3 linked regions of the Elephas maximus indicus genome follow. The protein of the gene in region 2 purifies or fractionates together with the protein of the main gene of each other region. This does not show direct contact. Links are inferred from orthologs where the notes say so. Each region holds a gene or a part of one and is shown on either strand. Other genes may lie near its edges.

Region 1 (3,745 bases), on a different chromosome or scaffold from region 2:
TCTGGGTAATCAGATGCTTATTTCAAATATTCTAAGATGTTGTTAAAACAGAACATTCACTAAGGCTCCACATAAAACTGTGCTAACGTACTAGGCAAAAAACCTGAGACAGAAAAACTGTGTACATATAGAAATCCAGATTCTCCATGATAACAGTAGCCCAGGAGCCTGCCTCTATGGAAACCAAACAATGTTCTAAACCAAGCAGTCACTGGTTTGCATTTCTAGTTGTGTTCCCAATTCTGGCTCTTATTTTTAGAGCAGCAACAAATACTTAACAGAAAGCCTGCTGCATACCACTATAAAATAGAGACGGGAAAAGTCAAGCTTCCCAAGCTGCCTAGCTCATACTTCTAACGCATGTCAAGAGAGTGAGGTGGTTCATCACAACGTATGCTATGACAATTGTACTCTGAACTTTAGCTCCTCCGTTTAAGTAAATGCTACCATCTGCTTAAGCAATAAGGAAATCCATCTCCACCCACAAGTGTGGTAACTGCTCCTGTTACACCTGTCTATCCAGTGTGGGGGCTTCCCTAGGAATCACTCACCTGCACAGATCTGAACGTAGTAATGAAAGGCAACATGATATGATAGCCTGGTCCACTGGGGCTAGTTAGTAAAGCTCCTCCCCTGCAAAAAGATGTTTCAATTTGACAAGATTATAAAGAGAGAAATTCTCTAAATCTAAAATGCTAAAACAAATATTCACTCTTACTCATGCTACTGACCTAATAAAGCCTTACTAACATGAGTTATTCATGGTGAACAAGTGCTGCTCCCTAAAATACCTGCCACACCCCAAAAGGTGAAAAGATCAAGCCAAACTGCTGGATGTTACACCTTGTTTCATAAGCTGGACCAACTATACCTCTGGGTCTCCTGTACCACTGTCAGGTTTAAAGGATCTCCTTGGTCTTTAACCTTCTGAGAAATACTCGTGGAAAAAAGTTCCAAGGGCTCACAGTTTAATCATACATAAAGAGAGTCAGATGAGAACATTTAATCACCGGGTTGAAAAAAAGAAGACACAAACTTTCAAGGAAGGAGAAAATTTCTGAGGCTCGAGATTCTTTTAATCTATGTGCAATAAAACTAAAATACTGACTGTATAAAGTATATAAAAACAGGAAAAAAATTAGCATGGAAAGATGAATGGTAAGGGGGTAAGATTATAAGTAGACAGGATATGAACATGGACTTGTTCTCCAAACAAATGAATGTGAGAAAGCCCACCTCAAAAATTATAAAAAAGGAGGCATTTTGGGAGCAAATATTTTAAAAGTCCTACTTTACACAGTTAATAATAAATTCATAGAACTTAAAGTTTATTATTCTGAAAATATGAATAGGTTTGCAAAGAACTCATGACAAATAACTAAGGAGAGATGAAATATTTAAGGCTCATCCCTCATTCTTTCAGAGCCATACCCTGAATTGTGCTTTCCTTGGTTTCACTGTCAGGAAGAAAATGCTCAGCTAGACAGAAAATTGAATAATCTGTCATTTCTTATGCTAATATTGTAGTTGAAACTAGCTCCTCACACTGAAGACTGTTTCTAAGACTCAAGATGGCTCTAAAAGAAGAAATACCAAGTTGAGGGACAGATAAAAACAAGCAAAAAGTTGAAGCTCTTTTTGTAAACACCACTATCCCAATTTCTCCACAAATTGTCCTCTCTTACTAGTCTAAATCAAAAGGACCTGGTGGTAATTATGCTAAAGGAAAGGCTCTGCAAGCTCAACTAGACAGTAACATATTTCATACTATTCGTCTCAACTCGAAAAGTAAAAATAAGGTGGGAGGAGGGTGGCTCATCAATCCTGTTTATGTCCCTCAAGATCCAGGGATACAACAACTGCCATGGTCATCAAGGCCTCATAAGCGAGACACTTGAGGGCTTTAAAAGGAAAAATCCAAGAAACAACCATAAACAGGTCTGGATTCTCTAAACAGCATCTGTAACTACAAACTAAAAGTTTGTGCAGTTAGATGGAATATAACAATTTACCCATCTCATTGGTTACCGCTGGAGTAACTACTCACTGCCTGCTTGCCTTTCTACAAATAACTAAGTGTTGTATATGAAGAATAACAGCCAGGGGTCTAAATCTCTGCAACAAAATGTATGTAGGACGAACACTGTCAAACACCTGGAGGGTACCCTAAAAAGCCTGCTGCTGTTGCCCATACTTTCCCTTGGGCACTTCCTAGGACTGGGGAGCGCTCGCTCTTCAGGACGCTGCAGAGGGAACAACTTCTCCACTCTACTTTAAAGGAGTCCTCTTTCCATCTGCTCTAGAACCTGAACTGGCTGCACACGCCACTCACCTGTAGTACACAGCCAGGTGTCCTTCTTCGATCTTGTGAATGGAGGCATACAGGAGGACAACCACCAGCCCCACCACTGCAGCCACCAGAACCCGGGCTTGAGTCATATTCATCCTTGTTCCTCCTGGATGAGGGAGGGAAGGAGCCCCAGCCCCGTGAGTGACAGGAGCACCCCCTTCAGTGACCACCCTCCCGCTCGGAGACCAGGGGCGCGACCGCAGGCCGAGCTGGGGAGTCCTGTGCCCCTTTCCCATCATTTTTCCTTTCTTGTAGAGACCGCTTCCCCCTCCGCCCGAGGCGGCCCGTGGGCCAACCCGGGCAGGTGAGCGTCATGACACCCCCCCTCTCCCAACGGCTGCTCTCCCGCCGGAGGGCACTAACTGAGAAGGGGCCCGCTGCGGGCTCCGGAGGGAGGCCGACCCCCGGCCGCGCCTCACCGATCAGTGACGCATCCCCCCCCGCCCGCACGTGCAGCCGCCTCTCTGGCCGCGCCAACCGCCGCCACAGCCGGCCCCGCCCACTCCCCAGAAGTACGGCTGCGCGAGGACGCACAGCGACGCTGCCGCCAGCCCGCGGGCGGAGACGGGGAGCGGACGGGACAAAATTCTCCCAGCCGGCGGCCGCGCAATTCTTTCCGAGGTGGTCCTTTTCTGTGCATGGGTGGTGGTTATCTGCTCCGGAAAGGGGTGGAAATCGATAGTCTGGCTTAAGCAACAGTGCAGAGGAAAGGACAGGGGCTCTCGGATAAAGGTCTGACTCGTCAGTATGTTGTTGTGCGACAACCCGCTTCCTCTTAGTGTGGTCGCTGTTGCGAACTTTTGTGGTTTATACCGAGCCTATGTGGCAAGCACGTGCTTCAGGCACGGACCCTGCACTTGAGGAGCTCCCAGACTTGTTGCCAGTAAAGTGCTGAGGGCGTTCGATCCAACGGCATCATTTACTTACCATTAATTATTGTTTGAACACCTAAGCTGGTTCAGTGCGGGCTTTATGAAGGGCATCCAAGTCATGGGAACAGAACGAACTAGAGCAGGTTTAAGTGTGGAAGCTAGGACAAGAAATTGAAACGCTTGAATGCCCTTTTTTTTCTACTTGAAGGGGAACTGGGTGACTAAAGGACAGAAGGCGACACACTTCATTTTCATTTTTTTCGTGTTTTAAAATTTTGCACCATGTGCAGAAATTATTTGGTCAGTAAAAGAAGACAAGGGAAAACAGTAGATACACAAATGAGAGGGAATATGGGCAGCATGGAGTCCCTGGGTGGTGCAAACAGCTAACCTGCTCAACTACTAACCAAAAGGTTGGAGGTTCAAGACCACCTAGAGGTGCCTTGGAAGAAACGCCCAGTGATCTACTTTCAGAAAATCAGCCACTGAAAACCCTGTGGAGCACAGTTCTACTCTGACACAC
Region 2 (3,745 bases):
AAACCAAAGAAAAAAGGTGGAAAACGGTTAAGAAGATCAACTGAGAAATGAAGGTATTATCAACAGATAGGAAGAAATGATAAGGTTACGTGAGGCAACACTGCTACTGAAAAAGCTGAGAAGAAAGAAATTTTCTTAAAAATAATTTTCACAGAAAAATCAACAGATTTTACATAGTATTTGATGAAGAGGTATTAACCTTGGAATCTGAACACCGGCTTTGTAAGAAGAAACTCCTAAAGGAAAAAAAAATCATTAAACAATACTAGTGGTTGTTATATAAGTACAATAGCAGTTCTTTCTCAAAGGCTTTTTTATATCTCTGACTTAAAAAATATATCAAAGACTACATTATAATCTTAACATTTGTCAAAGGCACTCTTCACTTCAAATTGTTTACCTGCCAACTCAAATGCAAAAGCAGATTTGAGAGCAAGAGATGAGTTCTCTCTCTTCTCCAGTCTTTGGCAGCTTTACACAGCCGTAGAGGAATGGAACTTCACCCTTCATCACCTTCTAGTAATCTCTACATCAGAAGGACCAGGAGACTTCATTCCACAGCCCCCAGAATTCATAAATCCCACTGCTTCCTGATGAAGCACAGTGGGATTAATTATAACAAATGAGTTGTATATCATTCTATCAGCCTGGAATATTAATCCCTCAGTCATTTACAGGCTACTTTCAACCTCAAAAGGTTAAGCACTTGGCTGCTAAGGAAAAGGTTGGTGGTTTGAACTCAACCAGTGGCTCCGTGGGAGAAAGACCCGACTATCTGCTTCCCTTCCCTAAAAGATTACAGCCTAGAAAATCCTACGGGGCAATTCTACCCTGTCACATGGAGTCTCTATGAGTCCAAATCCACCCGACAGCACACAACAACTCAAGCCCAAATGGGAACCTGAGAAAGAGACAAGATCCAAAACGCGGATGTAAAACCCCCAGTGACTAAATCTTGGAGTCACTTTTCTGATCACTGTGGAGTTTATATAACAGGCATTCAAAGTCCAGGTGGAAGCAAAATTCTTTAGCCAAAATACAGTTGACCTGCCCAGCCTGAAATTATCTGTTTTCATAAATGAGACAAACACGTATGCCTTGTAAATGCTGCTTATCTTGCACTGGCAGGCAAGCTGGAAGTCTTGTTTTAAAATGGATCACTAGAAGGAGAAATCCCAAGTTAAAATAAAGAGCAGCCTCTTGACCCCGAATGCTGTGTTACCCTGCTTCCAACATCAAAGAAAACCGTCATGAATCATCAGGTAAGGGCAGCAAGAGACGAAGCACAGTTGTGTCCTTTTTTTTTTTTTTAAAATAAATAGCACCCAAAGAAGACGAGCAAATACCAAGTGGCAGTAAAAAGTTGTGAGAGACGGCCGCCCTCCCAACAGCAATGTCCAAACACAACGAAATGCCTAAAATTCCCCCATACTCAGCTTCTGAATTCTCCCATCCCTTGTAGCTATGAGTCGGAATCGACTGCACAGCAGCGGGTTTGGGTTTTGGGTTTGTTTGTTTTGCCCTGTCCTTTTCACTGGAAACCCGCTAATAACTTACTCATGCCAGACCCAGTCAGAAAAGCCTTTCAACTTCTGTCCACTTACTCTAACGCTCCCAGTAGCTGACTCCTGATCCTCACCTCCCCGCTGAACCTGACCTGAGGTCTTCTGATTTCCTTCCCCAGGGTCCCTCAGATACCCCACCCTGTCCCCACCTTTTACTTGCACCCCTTCCTCCCCCGAGTACCCTAACCCCTTCCCTGCCGTCCCTGCGCTGTCTCCCCTGCCCCGGGCCTGGCCTCTTCGACCCGCGCGCGCCCCCACCACGCCTCCTGGACACCTTCCTCAAGCCCCCAACTTCCTAGGGCCGCCCCCTCCTCACGCCCTCACCCCATCTTCTGCCCACCGCGGGCCCACTCCAACCCCTCAACCCTCTCCTTCCGCGAGCGCAGTCTCGGTCCCCCGGCCCCAGGCCCCCGCACACGGTGGTCCCGTGGGGAGGCCACGCCCCCCATGGATAATGGGTGACGGGGCGCCCCCGCCCCGCTTGGCCCGTCCACCTCTGCGGGGCCAGTGGCAGCCTCGCTCACCCAGACGAAGAGGCTGTCCGAGAGTAGGTACTGGGCCACGTCGCGGGCCCGGGGGCCCCCGGCGTCCGCCCGGCTGGGAGCGGGCTGCTCCGACTCGCCGGGCCCGGGCCCGGGCCCGGCCTCGGCCTCGGGCTGGCTGAGGGCGCGGTAGGCGCTGACGATGGTGCCGAGCAGGGCCAGGCCGCTGAGGCCCGTGTAGGTACGGAGGCTGGGCCAGGGGAAGCGCTCGAGGAAGAGCAGCGGCATGGCGGCAGCGGCGGCCTCCAGACCCCAGGCCTCCCCGCGCTGCGGCCGGGCTTCTGCGGCGGCCTCGCGAAAGGCGCCCGCGGCCTCTGGCGTCGCTCCCGCCGCCGCTGCCGCCGCGCCAGGCCAGGCCGGGCCTCTCCCGGCCGTTCGCGCCGCTCGGCTCCGCCCCGCGCCGCTCCCGCTGCTGCCCCTGCCGGCGCAGAAGAGCGTCGGCGGGCTCGGGGCGGGCTGCCGCTTCCAGCGGGGCGCGGGCCGGACGGGCGCGGGGGCGCGGCTTCGTCCCCCGCCCCCTGCCCAGCGCGGCCGCGCTGCCGCCTCCCAGGCCTGGGCCTGGGCCCGGTCCCCGAGAGCCGGCACCCAGCTTCATCCTCCACCGAGTCACCGGCTCGGCCGGGCCGGCGGGCGTGCAGGACACCAGCCCCGGTCCGAGCCAAGGCCGTGACTCAGGCCCTGGGGCGCTGACTGGGCGGCCCAGCCCAGGCCGCGTGGCTGCCCCTCGGGACGCGGGAAAGCCCGGCCACCAGGCCTGCAGCCACTTGCCCTTGGTACCCCTGTGGGCCTAGACTTCCCAGGTGCCTGAAAGAGGAGGCAGTGCTTGGGGAATAATAGAGACCGTGATCACAAAAGCAAGAGTATTAATCTGTAGTCTTAAATTTCTCTGCAATAAATTGTGTTAAATTTCTGCCACTTGCCAGTATTATAGTCTCTATCACAATCTAAAACGAACCTGATTTAGCACGAAATAAAAATGTGTCCCTTCATACACTGCTGGTGGGAATGTAAAATGGTGCAGCTACTTTGAAAAACAGTCTGGCAATTCCTTAAAAAGTTAAACATAAAGTTATCATTTGTTGCAGCAGTTCCACTCTTAGGTATATACCCAAAAGAAATGAAAACATACCAACCACACAAAATCTGTACACATGTTCACAGCAGCAGCAGCTCTAATAATCAAAAGTCCTTATTCATGATACATGGACAACCTGAAAGTCCATCAACTGATGACCGGGTAAACAAAGGGTGCTATATCCATGTTGCCCTGTGTCATCTATTCCAACTCATAATGGCCCTATAGCACAGGAAGGGTTTCCTAGGCTGTAATCTTTACCTGAGCGGATCCCCAGGTCTTTTCTCTGGCAAAGCCAATGGTGGGTTTGAACAGCCAACATTTCAGCCAGCAGCTGAGTGCTTAACCACTGCGCCACCTGGGTTATTTGGTATAGCCATGCAATGGAATATTATTTGCCTTAAAAAAGAATGAAGTACTGATACATGTTATTTGTAAATCATAATTTTCAAGGTTTAACAATTGAGATTGATAAACCTTGAAAACATCATGCTAATAAAAGAAGCCAGACACAGAAGGCCACATATTGTATGATTCCATTAATATGAAATGTCCAGTATAGG
Region 3 (3,745 bases), on a different chromosome or scaffold from region 2:
GAATGGCCAATACCGGTCCATTTCAGCTCACTGATGCCTAGGATATCTATCTTCAAGCATTTCATTTCATTTTTGACAACTTCCAATTTTTCTAGATTCGTACTTTATATATTCCACGTTCAGGTTATTAATGGTTGTTTCAGCTCTTTCTTCTCATTTTGAGTTGTGCCACATCAGCAAATGAAGGTCTCAAAAGCTTGACTCCATCCACGTCATTAAGGTCAACTCTACTTGGAGGAGGTAGCTCTTCTCTGGCGGTATTTCGAGTGCCTTCCGACCTGAGGGGTTCATCTTTTGGCACTATATCAGTGTTCTGCTGCGATTCATAAGGTTTTCACAGATCAATTTTTTAGAAGTCGATTGCCATGTCCTTCCTCCTAGTCTGCCTTAGTCTGGAAGTTCTGCCGAAATTTCTGCATCGTGGGTGACCCTGCTGGTATTTGAACTACTGATGGCATAGCTTCCAGCATCACAGCAACAGGCAAGCCACCACAGTACAACAAACTGACAAAATGAGTGGTGGATGAGAACCTTAGGGTAGGTTATTTTTAATCAAGACTGACCATCCAAGAAGTGAGGTCTCTGTGGCTAGAGGAGCCTAAAGAAAGGAGGGAAAACCCACAGAAATTAGCTGGTCCAGGCCAGGCTGGGGGTCACAACCTCTTCAGAGTAACGCTCTAATTTCTGAGCCCTGGCTTGAGTGGACGGAGTGCACCGATACCAGGTGAGCAACTACCTACTGTGTCCAGATACTTGGTTTTCATATTTATTTAGTAAAACATCTCATTTCTCATTTACAGCTGCCTGATGAGGTATGTTTTAGGAATGAAGAAGCTTAAGTTCAAGGACATTAGATAACTCTCCCAAGGTCATATAGCTGACACGCACGATAAGGATTCTGCGTTTCTGGCGGTTCTGAAGTCCATGCTTCTTCTACAGTACTACAAGTGCAAGGTAACGGACAAGGACCAGCCTTGGGGAGTGGTATCCTCAGTCAGCCTGGTGGGGCAGTCCATGGGTACTGGGTTCCGGGGTGCCTTCTGGCGTCCACTCCAACAATGGAGTAGGCCGCGGTAGGAGCCAGCAAAGCTATAGGGTCCAACCTCCCCAGAGCCTTCATTACTGCATCTCGAACAGGGCGCTCTGAGGTGCTCCAGCTGACTTTTTTCTGAAGGGACAAATGCCCGGTTGCTGGTAAGGGAGGGGTCGATCCAGCCACCGCCCAAACCTCTGGGGACCAGCGCAACCCCCAAGCCAGCCCCGCTCGGGCCCCTTAGCCACCCTCCTTCCTGGGCAGCCGGCCAAGCCCTCCGTGGGGCGCGAGGAGGGGGCGGGGCCGCGCCCGTCCGCGGACTACAACTCCCACAATGCGCCGGCCGCCCGGGAAGGAGGGCGCCTGCAGGTGCCTGCGGCCTCGGCGCCTGCGCCCGGAAGTGCCCGCGGGCCGACATGGAGCTGGCGGGGCTGGGCGGTGAGTACCGCGCGGGCCCGCTCCCGCCCCGCCCCGCCCGGGATCGCTGTGCCCTCAGCGGCTTGGGGGCGGGAAGATGGGAGGTGGATGGAGGAGCCGGGGGTGGGAGGGTGAGGTGTCGCCTTCCCCGGGCCGGGTCTGGGGTCGGCTGCGGCGTAGGCTCGGAGAGGCTCCCGGGGACGCGCGGAGTCGGCCCGCCGCGGGCTGGGGTGGGCGTGGGTCGGGGGGGCCGAGGAGGGTGGCGGGTGGCAAACCCCGGAGGCTGCCGCTTGCTTGGGGGCGGAGCTTGACGTTTGATGTGGGGGAGTTTAGGAAGCTGTTGGGGTTTGGCTGAATGGCAACGGGGGGCGCATAGAGGCCTTTCCGCCCCCTTGAAGAAACTTTAGCGACGGAGGAGTAGATAAGCTGTGGGGTGAAGTAGAGGGTGGAGTAGATAAGCTGTGGGGTGAAGCTTGGTGGGCGTTGACTTTAGGGGAGGAGTTCCTTAGAAGACCGGGGTCCTTACCTTGGGATGGGGTTTGAGTGAATTAGGGACCTGGCTAAAGAGATTTAGAACTCAGGTTACCTGAAGTTAGGACTTTCGATTTGGTGGTGGAGCGGGACACCTTGAAAAACACCTTGGGGAGTTTGTGGCGACCGGGAGTCCAAACAGTCTGTTCCGCGGGATGTGGCTTGGGTACAGGGGGCAGAGGAGTAAGGGCTATGGGAGAGCTGGAGTGCGTTCAGAGGGCTCTTGGCCAGAGAGCCAGCCTCTCATGGATTCTTTGTGCCTCTCCAGCTCGGTAGCGCAGCGGGCAAGGTGGGTGCCATGGCCCTGATTGAAGGGGTGGGTGACGAGGTGACCATCCTTTTTGCGGTGCTTGCCTGCCTCCTGGTGCTGGCCCTTGCCTGGGTCTCAACACACACTGCCGAGAGGGCCGACCCACTGCCCCAGCCGTCAGGGACCCCAACTTCAGCACAGCCGAGCAAAGCCGTGGTAGCTACCGATAGCATCAGAGGGGCGGCCCCCGGAGCTGAGGCCCCCAGCCTGAGACACAGAGGTCCAGCTGCACAGCCAGAGCCGGGCACAGGCATCCCAGGAACACCGCCACCACCAGACTCCCCACAGGAGCCCCTTGTGCTTCGGCTGAAATTCCTCAATGATTCAGAGCAGGTGGCCAGGGCATGGCCCCAGGACACCATCGGCTCCTTGAAAAGGTAAGCTGGGCCACAGCGGGGTGATGATCTGAGCAAAATGCTAAAGAATGTGGTGGGAGTGGTCACAGACCCGGGTGGGCCACCAGAGACATCCCCCTTACCTTAAAATGAAGGAACCAAGGTCCATAAGTTACATGCTGGTCCAGTCCTTGTCCCCTGGTAGCAGACCGCCCCCACTGAGGCTAGATCTGGTGGTGGGGTGTGGGGCAGAGAGGGGGGGCAGGGTTTTGTTCTAGGGCAGGGACCAGGATTGGCTGAGGCCTGCTCTCTTACCCAGGGCCCTCTCTCCTCAGGACCCATTTTCCTGGCCGGGAACAGCAGGTTCGACTCATTTACCAAGGGCAACTTCTAGGAGACGATTCCCAGACCCTGGGCAGCCTTCACCTCCCTCCCAGCTGTGTTCTCCACTGCCACGTGTCCACACGGGCCGGTCCCCCACATCCCCCCTGCCCACCGGGATCAGAGCCAGGCCCCTCCGGGCTGGAAATAGGCAGCCTGCTGCTGCCCCTGCTGCTTCTGCTGCTGCTACTGCTCTGGTACTGCCAGATCCAGTACCGGCCCTTCTTTCCGCTGACCGCCACACTGGGCCTAGCCGGCTTCACTCTGCTTCTCAGTCTCCTGGCCTTTGCCATGTATCGCCCATAGTCCCTCCACGGGCAGTGGGCAGCACTGCCAACCCCTCTGGACCTTGCTCCCCACGACGGAGTGGGAGCTGCTGTCTGCCCAGGCCTGCTTCTCCGGCCTGCCTCTTCCCTCTGTCCTGGAGCACAGACCCTCGCCGCCGAGGACTCCGGGGGCCAGCAGAGGCCCTTCCCTGTGACCTCCATGGCACCGAGCCCCCTCCTGGAGCTGCTGGCCCTCAGCTCCCACTGACAGTGGGCTCCTCGGGGTCAGGCAGCTGCTGTCGCTGCCTAGGCCCTGGACAGAGTCGGGCAACCCCACTGGGCCCATTTTAGTGCTCTGCTCTGGAAGAGGAGGACCTAGTCACCTCCAGTCCCTGATACTCCTTCGTCTGACCTGGGGACTCAGGGACTGCGACGCTTGTGGAGGGGAGCGGGAGCAGCAGATGGTGGTTTT

What was found.
Region 1: the proteins of AMFR (region 2) and ERLIN1 purify together in Homo sapiens (affinity purification with mass spectrometry; 3 studies listed by BioGRID and IntAct, with this or other methods). This does not show direct contact. The link is inferred for Elephas maximus indicus from reciprocal best matches to the Homo sapiens genes AMFR and ERLIN1.
Region 3: the proteins of AMFR (region 2) and TMUB1 purify together in Homo sapiens (affinity purification with mass spectrometry; 3 studies listed by BioGRID and IntAct, with this or other methods). This does not show direct contact. The link is inferred for Elephas maximus indicus from reciprocal best matches to the Homo sapiens genes AMFR and TMUB1.

The regions. Positions count from the first base shown.
Region 1 is NC_064834.1:51,843,251-51,846,995, forward strand, and holds the start of ERLIN1 (erlin-1), read right to left. Parts: upstream 2,760-3,745; 5' UTR 2,590-2,759; coding exon 2,333-2,589; intron 634-2,332; coding exon 552-633; intron 1-551. UniProt on the Homo sapiens protein: Component of the ERLIN1/ERLIN2 complex which mediates the endoplasmic reticulum-associated degradation (ERAD) of inositol 1,4,5-trisphosphate receptors (IP3Rs).
Region 2 is NC_064839.1:23,462,623-23,466,367, forward strand, and holds the start of AMFR (E3 ubiquitin-protein ligase AMFR), read right to left. Parts: upstream 2,489-3,745; 5' UTR 2,336-2,488; coding exon 2,090-2,335; intron 1-2,089. UniProt on the Homo sapiens protein: E3 ubiquitin-protein ligase that mediates the polyubiquitination of lysine and cysteine residues on target proteins, such as CD3D, CYP3A4, CFTR, INSIG1, SOAT2/ACAT2 and APOB for proteasomal degradation.
Region 3 is NC_064838.1:12,134,093-12,137,837, forward strand, and holds the start of TMUB1 (transmembrane and ubiquitin-like domain-containing protein 1), read left to right. Parts: upstream 1-1,386; 5' UTR 1,387-1,471; intron 1,472-2,249; 5' UTR 2,250-2,279; coding exon 2,280-2,668; intron 2,669-2,961; coding exon 2,962-3,313; 3' UTR 3,314-3,745. UniProt on the Homo sapiens protein: Involved in sterol-regulated ubiquitination and degradation of HMG-CoA reductase HMGCR. Involved in positive regulation of AMPA-selective glutamate receptor GRIA2 recycling to the cell surface.